2 linked regions of the Diceros bicornis minor genome follow. The protein of the gene in region 2 purifies or fractionates together with the protein of the main gene of each other region. This does not show direct contact. Links are inferred from orthologs where the notes say so. Each region holds a gene or a part of one and is shown on either strand. Other genes may lie near its edges.

The links.
Region 1: the proteins of RET (region 2) and STAT3 purify together in Homo sapiens (affinity purification with western blotting; 3 studies listed by BioGRID and IntAct, with this or other methods). This does not show direct contact. The link is inferred for Diceros bicornis minor from reciprocal best matches to the Homo sapiens genes RET and STAT3.

The regions. Positions count from the first base shown.
Region 1 is NC_080757.1:41,523,988-41,531,475, reverse strand, and holds the start of STAT3 (signal transducer and activator of transcription 3), read left to right. Parts: upstream 1-4,450; 5' UTR 4,451-4,660; intron 4,661-7,488. UniProt on the Homo sapiens protein: Signal transducer and transcription activator that mediates cellular responses to interleukins, KITLG/SCF, LEP and other growth factors. Once activated, recruits coactivators, such as NCOA1 or MED1, to the promoter region of the target gene.
Region 2 is NC_080745.1:14,922,455-14,929,379, forward strand, and holds the start of RET (proto-oncogene tyrosine-protein kinase receptor Ret), read left to right. Parts: upstream 1-3,838; 5' UTR 3,839-3,955; coding exon 3,956-4,022; intron 4,023-6,925. UniProt on the Homo sapiens protein: Receptor tyrosine-protein kinase involved in numerous cellular mechanisms including cell proliferation, neuronal navigation, cell migration, and cell differentiation in response to glia cell line-derived growth family factors (GDNF, NRTN, ARTN, PSPN and GDF15).

The DNA.
Region 1 (7,488 bases), on a different chromosome or scaffold from region 2:
GAAGATTGTTGCTGAGCTAACATCTGTGCCACTATTCCTCTATTCTGTATATGGGACTCTGCCACAGCATGGCTTGACGAGTGGTGCATAGGTCCAGGCCCAGATCTGAACCAGCAAACCCTGGGCCGCTGAAGCGGAGCACAGGAACTTAACCATGCCACCGGGCCAGCCCCCGCCATGAGAAGTCACTGAAGGAACAGAATGTCATGATATGAATGATGTTTTAGGCAGCACAGAAAAGAGCTTAGCCTTGAAAATATTGAGTAGGGAGGACTGCTCTTCAGACAGGAGGAAAGAGAGATGCATGATGATGTCTGAGAAGTGAGTTTTTGCAGAGAAAGTAGAGGTCCAAGGAGTTCACGTTGCACAGATCTGCTCTTCTCTGTGATTTTAGTGAGGGGGAGCTGGGCAGCACTGTGTAAGCCTTTCTGTTGCTTTGCCCCCATGGGGGCTCCCATCACCCACGAAAGTTGTCCCTTGCCCTCTCTGGTCACTGCAGTGACTTGCCACCATTTACTGCCACCAAGGTTCTTCTCCAAATCTTCTCTTCCTTGCCATGCCCTCTTCTTGATTTAGAGTTTTACTGCTAATTCCTCCAGGGAAGAGAGAGTAAATAAAAATTTTCTAGAACTTAATAAAGTCTGATCAGTCTCAGTTCCTGATCTAACCCCTACAGTCCTGAGTCTCTCTGAGGTGATAATGGAAACCTATCCTGGTTATGTATTGCTGTGTAACAAACCCCCAACAGAGTGGCTTAAAACAATGACAACATTTGTTTTGCTTATGAATTTGTAATCTGGGTAAGGCTCAACAAAATTGGCTCATCTCTGCTCCATTTGGCCTCCATTAGGCTGGCTTGAAAGCTGGGGCTGGAATCATCTGGAGGCTGGCTCACTCACAGTTGATGCTTGCTGTCAGCTGGGCCCTAGCTGGACTGTTGGCCAGAACACCTTCGTATGAGCTCTACATACAGCTTGGGCTTCCTCACAACATGGTGGCTGAGTTCCAAAGGTGAGTGTCCCAAGAGAAAGAATTAGGTAGAAGCTGCATTGCCTTTTATGACCTGACTTCAGAAGTCATGGCAGCATCATTTCCGCTGTATTCTATTTATTAGAAGTAAGCCACTCAGGGAGTGGAATTAGACTCTACCTTTAGATGGGAGAAGTGTCAAAGAATTTGTGAACATGTTTATAAACCACCGTAAACTCACAGGGCTTCTGCACTCTGTCTTTATTCACTTGATTGATGAGTGGAGAGTGGGGACCTCACCTTTTCCCCTCCTTTACACCTTTCCTTGGGGATCCAAGAGGAAGGTTAGGTCTGGAGATATAGCCAAGGAAGAGCAGCTATTCAGGCCTCGAATTAGACACACTTGGATTTGAATCCTGGCTCTGCCATTTATCAGCTCTGTGTTCTTGGGTAAGTCACTCAACCTTGGGTAAGTCTCATTTTCTTCATCTGTAAAATCACAGTATTCTCATGGGTTTATTGCAAGGATTAAATGAATTAATAGATGAGTTACATAATACATAGTAAACACTCAATGAGTGTTAACTATTGCTGATATGATTATTCAATACGTGTTTATTACTATTTAATTAACTCAATCTTAGGTGAGTTCTGGGCTAGACGCTGGGATTGTGAAAATGACTATGAAGGGATTCAAGCTTCCAGGAACCTAAAGCTTAGGGGGAGATGTTTTCAAGCATGTGGGCAGAGAGTCCAGGATTTGGAGTCAGCCAGAACCAATTCTCATTCTGAGTTTGCCCGTAGTTTCTAGCTGTGGGAACTTAGACCAGTCTTTTTTACTTTCTCAGCCATAGTTTCCTCAGTTGAAAATGAGAATTATAATAGAACCTACCTCACTGAGTTCTCAGGAGGATCAAATGAGATAATCTATATAAAAAGCTTAGCACTGTTCCTGGAACATGGTAATTACTTAATAAATGTTAATTATTAATTTCATTTATCAGGAAGTAGGCTAATAAATGGATATATTACAGTCCAACGTGGAAAATGCTCTACTAGATGGGGAAGCAACCTGCTAAAGGAGTCCAGCAGAAGAGATTAACTTTGTCAGGAGTAATCTCAGAAAGCCCAGAGGAGGTGAGGTTGGAATTGGGCTTTGAAGAATGAGTAAGAGTTTTCGGGCAGGGAATGAGGAAAGAGAAGATATTCTGGGTGAAGGGAAGAAGATCTGCAAAGGCATGAAGTTATAGGTGTCGACATGTTTGGAGAAAGGTGATAAATTCAGTGTGGGAGTATAAGGTGTGTGGGATGGAGGGGTTGAGGCTGGAAAAGGGAGTTCAGGTCAAAACATTGGCTCAAGAAACCTGCTGTCTTTATGCCACACTTGGTAGAGTGTAGAGAAAGGCCACTGGCTGGGCTGGAGCAAGGTTTTGTAGGTGGAACAGATGGACTCAGGGGTAGATTTCATGTGTGAATGTGAGGCAGGGCAGTGAGGGAAACAAAGGCCAGCTGCTGAGGAGTCAGGGGAGGAGGGCAGGGTTTGAGTGGATGGAACAAAGTTATGGGATGCAGAGTCCAAAAACCTGCCTCTGAACCCACCTGGGATACTTCTGAGCATCTCCATGATCTTGAGATTGTCATACTATTGTGGCCTTCGTTTCCTATCAGTAAATAATATGGCCTCTCCTATCTGCTACACATAATTGTTGTGAGAAAGAAAAGAGGTGATGAGTATGTAAGTGCTTTGTAAGCAGTAAATAACTAAACAAATATTAGACCCAATGCTATTAGGGAGGCAGTCAACTGCATGGAATAGCACAGCTAAAGCAGAGTTTAGGTGAAGTGGAAGGTGGGGGATATCTGCCCTGGGGTGAAGACAAAGATAAGCACAGCGATCAATACACACAAACACACACACAGACACACACACACACTACAGACAAATACAGCGTTTTGCGTTTTCCACGTTGGGCTGGGTCTACAGGAGGGCAATTGGAAACTCTCAATCCCACCACCAGTGACCCCACCAATTGTCCTATAGATGCTCTCACCTGTCGCTTGGACATGAGGTGGTCCAAAGGTCCAAATCTGGAGTCTTTGGCCGGGCTTCAGGTGTCTGGGGAACCATGAGATTTTGTGAGCAAAAGCTCATGCTGTATAATTCTGAGGCTAAAATCTGTAGTCTCCAGCAGACTGAGAAGGATCTGTGACCCCCCACAGGTTAAGGGTCATTGATTTTCTCACCAGCAATTAATAAGAATAGCTATCCTAGGGGAGAAGGACTGGTAGGAGAAGGGCGAAGATTTTCATTTTCAATTTTCGACTTTTCTGATGTGTTTGAATTTTCTAACCACTACCATGTGTTAGTTTCATTGAAAAAACTGCCATCAGGGGTTGTCTGGGTGGTGAGATAATGGGCCCTTTTTAGATTTCATCTTTATACCTCTTTATATCAAACAAACACAACAAATACTAATAGCTATTATTTTTTAAAAACTCTGAGAGCGTCAGCACACATACAAATCTCTCCATTATGCAAAGTACATCCTCTGTTATGTAAGGTAAAATGTCTACATTTCCTATAAACTACTAGCTTTAATGCAGTAAAACTTGCATTTGAAGTAGAGGAGATGAGACGAAAAAGAAAAAGGCAGGCAATTTCAACTATTTCAACTCAGACGCATAAAAATAGCGTGTCTACGTGTCAATCTTCATATGTACTGTTTTCTGCATTCTCCTGAACTGGCCACTGTGCGAGCCGTTGGCGTTTGATGCTTGAAGCGACGGAACGGAGGACAGGGTTAAATCCACTACCCTCTCCCCACGCACTCTAGTAATTACTCTATTTCCACGTCATGTTTCCGGGTGTGTGTGTCCCAACTCACGCAGAAACTGAAGTTCAAAGCAGGCAGGAGTCACCCATATTCTTTTTGCTGTCCCCAGAAACCCAGTTCAGGCGTTGGGCCCCCTGAGGATCTGGCGATACCTGGGGACTGTCTAACTGGCTGATTCCCACGTGGTAAGTGGCTCCCAACCTCGCCCCCACGTGGTGTTCAGTGCCGGGAGAAGGGAGAGCAGGCAGAAGAGAGCCGCATCAGGGGCATTTAAAGTGTCTTGACGTCACGCACTGCCAGGAACTCAGCTGAGTTTTCAGCAGGACATTCCGGTCATCTTCCCTCCCTCCCCCCGGGCTTCTGCGCCCAAAGCCTCTGCTCTTCCCTGTTGTTGCGGAGGGAGGAGCAGTAAGCCTTCGGAACAGCCAGCATAGGGGCGTTCCCAGCCTTGTCTTGGCTCCGCCCTTTCAACCAGAGGCTCTCCTCATTGGTCGGTGGGTGGGGCTTTGGGTGTCCCGCACACGCACTAGGGCCTCTGGGTGGCCGAGAAAACTGGCCGTCTCATGAATTATGCAGCAGCGGCTTGTCCCGGCCAGGCTGGGGCTGGGCGGGGATTGGCTGGAGGGGCTGTAATTCAGTGGTTTCCGGAGCCGCGGCGGCGTAGACCGGGAGGGGGAGCCTGGGGTTCCGACGTCGCCGCGGAGAGAGTGAGCCCGAACCGGATCCTTGACGAGCGCCCCAGCACGGCCCTCTCTCTCCGCGTCTGCTAGGAGAGGCCCCAAGGCCTGAGGGAGACCCGCGGCCTAACCCCGGCGCAAGCGCAGCCCCGGCCTGTCGGGCCTCAGCCCGTGAAACAGGTGAAGGAGGTGAAGGGTGGGGCCGCCCCCCGACGGCCCCCAGACCTGGGGACCCCGGGGATACCGGAGGGGCCGGAAGCCTCTCGGGTGTTTGGGGGAGCTGTGGATGGAAACTTCAGCGGAGCGGGGGATTACGAGGGGACACGGAGGGTCGCTCTGAAGGGACAACTCCCCGGGATGACAGGAGCGGGCCTCTGAAGGGACAGGGGGCACTGGAAGGAAGTTTCGTTCTTTGGAGAAAGGGGGGACGCCGAGGAAGAGGGAGAACGGGCTGGAGGGGGAGTACCTTGGGGCGAGGGCACCTGGGGTGGGGGTGGCAGGAGTGAGGGACAGCCCCCCGACTTCCTGCTCCCTGGGGCTCTGGGGACGTTCCGGCCACAGGAGCGACTGTCACGCCGCGGAGATCACCGGGAGGGGGGGTTGGAAAGAGCCTCCTCCTGTCCCCCGGCGGGCCTGGCGGCTCCCGGCTGAGCCACTTCCTCCGCCTTGCCCTGTTCCCGCTCCTTAGGAGCCAGCTCTGCCGCTCTGGAGGTGGGAATAGGTGTCTTCCCTTACAGCCTCACAGGCTGGTTGGTTGTGCGTAGGATTATTGCATAAGAATCGAGTTTCCTGTAGGGAAATTGACAGTCTCGTACTCTTTCTAAATTCCCTCCCGTCTTTTTCTAGGTTAAACCGTGCTTCCCTCCTACTCCTTCTGAAAAAACATAATAAAACCCCCATCAAGCCAGCTCTAGAGAGAAATAAACCTCTTTCCTCCTTGACATTGTTCTTTTATAAACACCTGGTACATTCAGCCAGAAGATAAATAATTGAGCCCTTGCGTTTACGGGATTGTGGTATTGCTTAATTGAATAGGACAGAATGAACCAATCGAGAGTGGGAGTTTTCTGTCTCAGAGCCAAGATCTTGGGTAAACGCAGAGGAGAGGGAAACAAAGACAGGCTGGCCTTGGCAAAGCCATGTGTGCAAACTTTACCTGTGTTTGGGGGTGTGGTTGGGCTTAAGTTAATAAAATTCCAACCGTCACCCAAGTTGCTTCTCCATGTGTAGTACACATACATCCCTCTGTGTTGTATCAAATGGGTGTATGGTGTTGACACACTTTTTCTTATTAAAAATGTATCTAACGTACCTGCTGGTTTTTATTGTGTGTGCATCTAAAGGGTATATTTATTCTGTGTATGGGATGTAACTTTGGGGCTGACTGTGCTGATAAAGCATTGATTTCAAGAAATCAGAACAGTAAATCATCTCAGTCTTTTATATGTGAATTTAGACTGTTATGACTTGATTCTGCCAATTTTCTATTTTATTTTATATTAAATGTGTGTGTTCCCTGAGTCAAAGGTTATTTCCTTATTACATGTGCCAGACTGGAGTAGTAGCAGAATTTTTGCTTACACATTTGTATAGTGGGATGGGAGGAAGAAGTCTGCAATACAAAAAAAAATTGTTGTAGATGTTGGAGGGCTGATCTTAGCTTCTATATTTGTTAGCACATCCCCCACAAAGAACCACTAGCAAATTCATGAATATTTTACTTTTATATGTAGTTCTTTTGGGAAGAATAACTATTTAGAACTATCCAGTTATGACTTGACCCACAAAAGGTAAATGGTTCATATAACGTCAACCCCGTTTTGGTAATAAGGAAATTGAGAACAAAGGAAAAAGACCCTTGCCCAAGGTAGCAGAGTGCCGTAGTGGTAGAACTCATCCCTTCTGTATCTTTTGTGTTCTTTGACTATCTATGCTTAAGTATTAGGTCTTGATTTAGAGTGAGTGTAGGCCCTGCTGGGAAAAGTGTTACTGAAATTCTAACATATACCTAGACAGTGAAATACTACCAATAGGTTGTAAGACTCCAAGGGTGATAGTTAATAAACAGGTAAAAAAAGAAGTACAAATCGGGTTTGCTTAGGTTATTTTTCTGTCTAACTGCTATGACTAACATGGGAAGTGACTAACTTTTTTTATTCTTATTGTTATTTTTTTAATGATTATTTTTTATTTTTTTTGTGGAGAGGATCAACCCTGAGCTAACATCCATGTCAGTCCTCCTCTTTTTGCTGAGGAAGACTGGCCCTGAGCTAACATCTGTGCCCATCTTCCTCCACTTTATGTGGGTTGCCGCCACAGCATGGCCTGACAAGCGGTGTGTTGGTGGGCGCTGGGGATCCGAACCCAGGCCGCCAACAGTGAAGTGCGCGCACTTAACTGCTATGCCACGGGGCTGGCCCCTGGAAGTGACTAACTTTTTAGTTGGCATAATTTACCATCAGAATTTAGCTATTTGCTAATGGAAAGAGATATTTATTTAGGCAAGCTTGTAGGTGAAGGATGGTCGTGACCTAAATGTCCCTTAAACCAAAGTGCCTTGTGGCTTGATCAGTGGTCATTTGTGTCTCCAGAAAGTTGCTGTCTTCTCCCTGCCTCTGAGTGTCTTGACATTCAGATGTGAAGTGGGGCAGAGGTAGGGACCATCACTCCAGCTGCTGAGTCCAGCACCTTTTTATCTTATGGCTTTTTCAGAGGTAGTGTACAAATTAACAAATATTTACTTTTTGCATCTTTGTGAAAGTTGCTATGAAGAATAAGATGCCTTAAAGGTTCACAGAACTTGCAGTCTACTGAGGCAACTTGATAAATGCTTTATCCATACAATGCAACATGTCCTCAGAGAGATGGTGAGACATTAGCCTGCACTGTCCAACAAAGTAGCTATTATATATTAAAAACATATAGCATAGATATAGAACGTTTCTGTTATCATAGAAAGTTCTCTTGGACAGTGCTGCACTAAGAGCTACAGGTCTTCAGAGGAAGGA
Region 2 (6,925 bases):
AGATCAGACCCTCTGGGTGGAGGTGGGCTTTGTCTGAGCCTCATAGGACATGCAGGATCCATGCACCTTGCACTCCAAGGTGCCGGGCTCAGGCCCCAGGCACCCAGCTCCCTGTCATGCCGGAGGGAGGGTCCTCTCACCAGCCGGGCTGAGGCCCTGTCTGTGACCACCAGCTGTGGGTACGAGGCAGGCAGGTGGGGCCTCCACAGAGTTAGGTGAAGAGTGTCCCTGGGCCGCACCCTGCAGGCCCAGGCCTGGTGTGCTGTGAGTATGTTACAGGAGAGCATATTTGACCTCGGGGTGGGTGGGCAGGGAGCCCCGCTGTGGGTGTCCCAGCCAACTGGTGGGCATTGGCTTTCCTTGCAGTTGTACCTAGAGGAGGGAAAACCAGGGGCAGCAATAGACCCTCCTTCACCTCAACACCCCACTGGGATAGCAGAGTGCAGTGGTAACTATTATTACCCCCATTACAGAGGGGAAACTGAGGCACCAAGTCTGCCTCCAGCCTCTGCATCACACTGCCTGCAGGGGGCACTTCGACCCCTTCCCACACGGGCTCTGACCATGTCTGGCCCCAGGCAGGGGCCTGAGAAGCCTTGGTCAGCAGTCCCCAGAATGCTGCCTGGCTTTCCAGTGCCCCCAGGACTGCCCTGTGCTCCTCCCTGAAAGGCCCCCAGGGCCAGGGTTTCCCGTCCCTACACTCAGCCTCCACTCCCAACAGCTGCCTTCTCCCTGAGTCCCCTCAGCCATCGGGATCCATGGTCACAGAGCATCCTGCCCTACTTCTTACCCCCAGCAGCAGCTCCTCCCCACCTGGGCAAGGCTGTGTGGCTTGGATCCGTGCTGGGATCCGTGTCTGTGCTGGGCTGACCTCCACCCTCCCCGCCCTGTGCTGTGCTTTGGGGCCAGATCCAAGGGGCTCCAGGCGGGCCTCACGTGCTCAGAGGCAAGGAATGCTGCAGGGAGCACCCTATCTTGCGCTGGGGGCGGGGCTTTGCAAACTATTTTAGTCACTCCTCACAGCCACCTGAGGGAGGGACACACTATTTTGGCCCCCATTTTACAGATGACAAAACTGAGGCTCAGAGAGGTAAAATGACTTGTGCAATGTCACATGACTATAAGTGACAAATTTCAAACTCAGGTCTGACTCACAGCAAAGCAGAATCCCATATCAGAACCTCTCAGGGAACTTTTTTAAAAAATGTAGATTTTTACGCAGGTGGGCCCAGGAATCTACGTATGGATAAAAGCTGCCCTGGCAATACTCCAAGGGCGCCTGCAGGCAGGGGTGGGGGGCACTGACCACACTGTGATGCGCCCCCTCCCCCAACTCCCAGAGAGCTCTCAGCACCTGTAGCTATGATTTATTGAGCACCTACTGTGTGCTGGCACTGAGCTCCACCCTCACATGTGCTCCCTCTTTTTACTCTCACTCTTCCTTCTGAGAGGGGGATGTTTACAGTTGGGGAAACTGAGGCTCAGACAGAGATGACTAGGGGAAGCCAAGACAGGAAGCAGGAACCTCCTGCAGACTCCTGTCTCCTTGGGATGCAGAGAAGAAAGGGGAGGGGCTTCCTGGGGACTCACAGACTGGCACAGCTGGGATCTACCCTCTGACCTCCCCTGTGGGACCTCAGGGAGGCCACATCCATTTCCTCTCTGCTGGGTGAGGAAGCTCCTTCCTGCTGCTCTGATATTCTGGATCCTGAGCCAACGCCCAGGCCCAGGCAGGGCTGAGTCACTCCCTTCCCTGCAGTCCTGAGGCCAGCAAGCCCAGAGCCTCACCTCTGCCCTCTATTGGATGCCCCTCTGGTCAGTCCCTGGGCATGCACAGTGTGGGGGGGTATGCACCCATGCCCACGCATGTGAACATGAGTGTATGCATGTGTGCATATACATGTGTGTGCAGGGGTATACATGTGAGGCCCCCCCACATCTTTTTCTAAGAAGAGGGCAATGCCCCCACCATGGTGTCAGGTGTCCACTCAAGGCCCCAAGGGTGGTAGTGGAGAGAGGGTGGAAAGGCCTGAGGAGACCCAGGCAGGAGCGCCACCTCAGTGGGTCATGTAGAGCCCAGCCAGACATCCAGCCTGTCCAGTGTCAGCCAAGGTCTGGCCATGGTGGTCCCTGTGAGGCACGGGGGCGGGGCTGGTTGGAAGAGTGGGCCAGGCTACCCCTTTTCCTTCTGCATTCTCCTGAATGCAGTAGTGGCAGCCACAGGAGCCTGTTTGTAACCAAAAAGTCCCCCTCAGCCTCTCCCTTCCTACTCAGCAGCCTTGGTAGCCATTAGCACCTGAGGTAGGCCCTATCTGCACCTCCATGGCCAAATCCAGCCCCATAAATCAGAGGGCTGGAGGCCCTGAGGGTGTGCGGCAGGCAACAGAAGGTCTGGTGGCCACAGGGTGGCTCTCCTGAGCTGGGAGCACTGTGCCCTGGCCTCTTGCCAGCAGGCCCGCTCTGGACATCTTGGCTGGCAGACCCCACCGCCAGCCTCTGTCTTGGCAGCTCCTCCTCCTCCCCGCGAGGGTGACTTCACTTTGCAGATCTCTTGTTCAGCTCTGAGCCCAGCCAGGCAAGAGGGCGGGGCTCTGTGCACAGGAGGAAGAGGACACCCCAGGCCAAGGTACACTGGACCATCCCACCCCAAGGCCCCATGGGTTTCCATTCCTCTGCACCTTGGTGGAGGCCAGACCTCAAAAGGCAGCTAGAGGATAGGAGGAGAACAGCAGACTTTTCCCACAGAGGTCTGGAACACACTTCCAAGCTCACCCCAGGACCCTCCAAGTTAGAGGTCCAGAGCCTTCTCCTCCTTAGGATTGCATGTGTTTATGGGCATCATTTCTTTCGGCAAAAATTAAATTCTTTGGGGCTCCAGTTCCTCCCTGCTACTCTCTCCTACCCAATCAGTCCCTCTTCCTAAGAGTTCTATTTGGAAGGGGGAAAGGGTACCCATCCTCCAAGCACCCCATTAGGCCACCAGCGCCAGGTCTCTCTGAAAGGCGTGCCAGGCACCAAGTTTCCTGCCCCCTTTGGTTCGACCAGCCCTAAAGAGAGGGCTCACAAACCAGCCTTCCTACCCTCTCCCCCAGCGCGACCGCCAACATCGTACGTAAGCCACGCGCCAGGCTCGCCCCAGGGGTGCGCAGAAAGCGCTCCGGCCTCCCTTCCCTTGCCCCGGCTCTTCCGCTCTTCCCGCCTCGGGTCCCAGGGCAGGCCGCGCTCCCACCGCTCCTCCCTCCCTCTGAGAAATGGCGGAGGATGCGCTCCGCGCCGTGCCAAGAACCTGGAGGCGGGGTACCCGCCTAGTCTCCATGTCCTCTCGGGCGCACACCCAGCCAGTCCGCCCAGACTCCGCATCCCGGCGAGGTTTCCCTGCCCTGTCTGGGCGGCTGGGAAGGGCGAAGCGCAAGAACCGCGAGCGGGTGCACAGGATGAGAAAGAGTGGCTGTGCGTGCGGAGGTGCAAGGATTGGGGCTGCGGGTGGCAGGCCCGCATCCCGCGTCCGGCACCTCGTTCCTACTCGCGCCCCGCCCAGCCCGCATCCCGCGTCCAGCGCTCGTCTCCTACCCGCGCCCCGCCGGACCCGCAACCGGTGCAGCCGGACCGGGTACCCTCGAGCCCCGCCCCTACCCCGCACCCCGCCCGCACCCTGGCCCCGCCCGGCCTGCCGCCCGGCCCTCCCGCCGTCCCCCTCACCGCCCCGCCCCGCCCCTGCCCGCTCCTCCGGCGCAGTCCGCGCCCGCCCCGCCTCAGTCCCGCGACCCGAGCCCGGCGCAGAGCAACGGAGAGCGCCCCGGAGTCCGCGCCCCGACGCTCCGCGCCCGCAGTGTCTGCCGCGTCCGCCGCGTCCCGGGCGGGCATGGGGCGGCCAGGCTGAGCGCCGCACCCCGCCGCCGAGACCAGCCAGCCCAAGCCACCATCCCTCTGGCTGCGGCCCCGGCGCGCACGGGCGATGGGGAAGGCGACGGCCGGCGCCGCGGGGCTGCGGTTGCTGCTGTTGCTGCCGCTACTCGGCGAAGGTAAGTCTTGCCGGCGGCTGGTGCCCGCAACAGCCAGGGCGAAGTTGGAGCCGAGCAGCGGAGTGGACGCGTTCGGAAACGCATTCTGTGTGCCGCGGGCAGCGGGCTGCGCAGTTGCCAGCCGCCCGGGCTCGGCAGGGAGCGAGGTGGTGCGGCGGGCAGGGCGCCTCGGAGCCGGGCAGGGCGGGTCTCGGGCCGGAGCGGGACGCGGGACGCGCTGGGCGGCCGGAATCGGTGCCCAGGGCCCGAGCCGCAACTGCGCGTCCCAGCCTGGTCGCGCCTCACGCCGCAGCCGCGTCCTGGAGCGAACTGGACGGATCTTGTCGCCATTTGGGCGCAGGTAGGGGAGGACGGGTGAGGTAGCCCTAGAAAGCCTGCGACTTGCGCGAGGAGTTCTATTTCTGCAGAAGAGTGCCCCGTCTGGTTTCCTTTTCGCGCTCCACGTCCGCGCTCGCGTTCGTCCTTCAGCTCTGATACCCTGGCCCGCCGCGGGGTGCGAAGAGGATCTGCCCTTTTATAAAAGGTTGCTTGTCTCTTGTGCATTTTTTGCCGCACTAGTCTTTAAAAAACCTAAAGCCTGTGGTTTCTGGGGAGCCTGCCCTCGAGGGCCCGCTCAGACTGGCCCGGCGCAGCCGGCTGAGGGCCCTCCATGGGCCAAATTACACCCGGCAGCTTTAGAGTCGCGCGCCGCTGCCGGGCAGGGGCACCTGAAGCTGCGGCCTGTAGGACCATATGACGGCTCTGGGCCAACCTTTACCAAGAGCTTTTGACCTGCTTGGGGTCGGGTAGGGCTGTGTGCCGCCAGCGTCGGTGCTGGGAGCATTAGATGTGGCCTTGCAAAAGCTGGTCACTGCCCGCACCCCCAAACCCTGACAGGATGAACCCCAAGGCAGTAGAATCTCTGACGCCTTGGCTACACCACGGTCCCTCAAACCCGCCCTGACTTGCTCCCCTCCTGCAGTACTATGTGTGCACCAAGTTTCCCTCTGTGGGGAAGGAGCCAGGCCACCCTCCCCCACTGCTTACAAAGGGCTTTCTCTCCCTATGGCCTTTGGTCACCTGAGAGTTGTGGTCCCCTGCCTCTAGCCCCCGGTCCTGCCCAGACTCTGGATTCACAGGCCTGCCCAAGTCTTCGTTAGTGTGGCTGGATCCGGGGCTCAAGGAGCACCTACTGAAGCCAGAATGGGGTCCTCAGTCCGTCCTAGGGAGGACAGGAGAGAGACCCTTTCCTTGCCCTGGGGAGGAATAGACAGAGAGAGTCTGTTTCCAGTATTGGGACTCCCGGGTCACAGTGCTGCAGGGGGAAGACAGGCGGGAGGCTGAAGGCAGGGCAGAAGTAAACACAAACAAGGTGTTCTGAAAGTCTCTTGTAACTCTGGGTTGCAACTTTGTAGTTGTGGGCGTGTGGTCAGGTGTGAGCCCGAAGCCTGTGGTGCTGGGCAGCCTGTGCTGGCCTCAGCAGCCTACAGAGGATTTCCCCCTACCCTTCCACTGCCTTGCACTTAGCCTGGGGGCCCAGTGAGGCTGTGGGAGGCTGAATTGAGGGTTGGCCTGTGGCCCTTGGCAGGAATGCAGGTGGCTTTTCCACACCCCTGGCCCATGGTGTTGGGTGGCAGAAGACAGGCTCTCCAACCCAGGGAAAGTGAGCCCCCACCCATCCACCCTTCCCTTGTGATGACAAAGAAACCATGATTGGTGGCACTGAGATTGGAGAGGTGGTCCTGCAGCATCCAGGGAGAGGCAGCTGGGGTCTTTGGAGAGGCCTTGGGGGGCCCTTTACCAAAAGCAGCAACCCTGGAGCTGGTGAGCCTTGCTCTCGGTGCGCTGCTCCAGACTGCCACTGCTAAGCCCGGCTGCTGCACCCCGACCCTCCCAGACTGGGCGCAGCTCGGCCTGGGGGCGCCCTCTTGTGGACGCAGTGCTCCAGTGGCAGGGCCTGTTGCCTGGGGGATGGGCTGGGTCTCCAGAGGATGAAGGCGGTCCCCTGCTGGGCCAGACACCTCCCCAAGACAGGAAGCTCCCTTCTGTGCCAGGTGAGATGGCAGGGACGTGACCCAGATGAAGAGGCAGTGGGTGAGACCAGAGCGCAGGGGCAGAAGCAGCTGCCTCAGGGCTGGCAGGGGTGGGCTGGAGGGCCCAGGGATGCCCAGAGCAAGGCCATGGGACATAAACAGACCCCATGTCCCCGCCCATCCCCGTGTGCACACTCTCACTGTGTGTGACCACACAAACCTTCAGAAAAAGGTGCCAGTGGAAACACAGGCTCCCAGAGTAGGACAGGACTCCTTCTCCCTCACACCCTGGTATCTGTGCACGCACACATACACACCCTCACATCTATGCTCACACTCACACTCGATCATCACCAGGACACACTCGTGCCCTTCCTCAAGGATATGTGATCATGAGGCCTGTGGACACACACCCACTCCCTCAGCGTGACCTGGCCCCTCACACTCCACCCCACCCCCACCCCCACCCCAGGATCTCAGCGTCTCTCCCTGCCACTCAGGCACACAGAGACACCTGCCCCTCACCACCTCATACACTCAGGGCAGACCCATCAGCCCCAGGTGTCCTGGAACCAGAGCAAGGGAACCTCCATCTAAAAGTTGTTCTTAGAAGAGTTTTGCTGCTCAGCCCAGGTACAGCCATCCCTGTTGCCTGGATGAGGAATTGGAATCCCAGCTCCTGGGGCTCCCCCTGCGTGTCTCAGGCTGACCCCTCACCTGGCACCGTCTCCCTGACTCCCTGCAGCTCTCAGCAGGTCTCACGTCTCTCGTCTCCCTGGCCTGGCTTCTTGGGTCCCATTTTGCCCAACACCTCTGGCTGCAAGGAAGGACCTGCCCTCTCTGCCTGCGGACCCCCTGGGCCTTTCACTCCCAGGTACCAAAGAAGGGAAA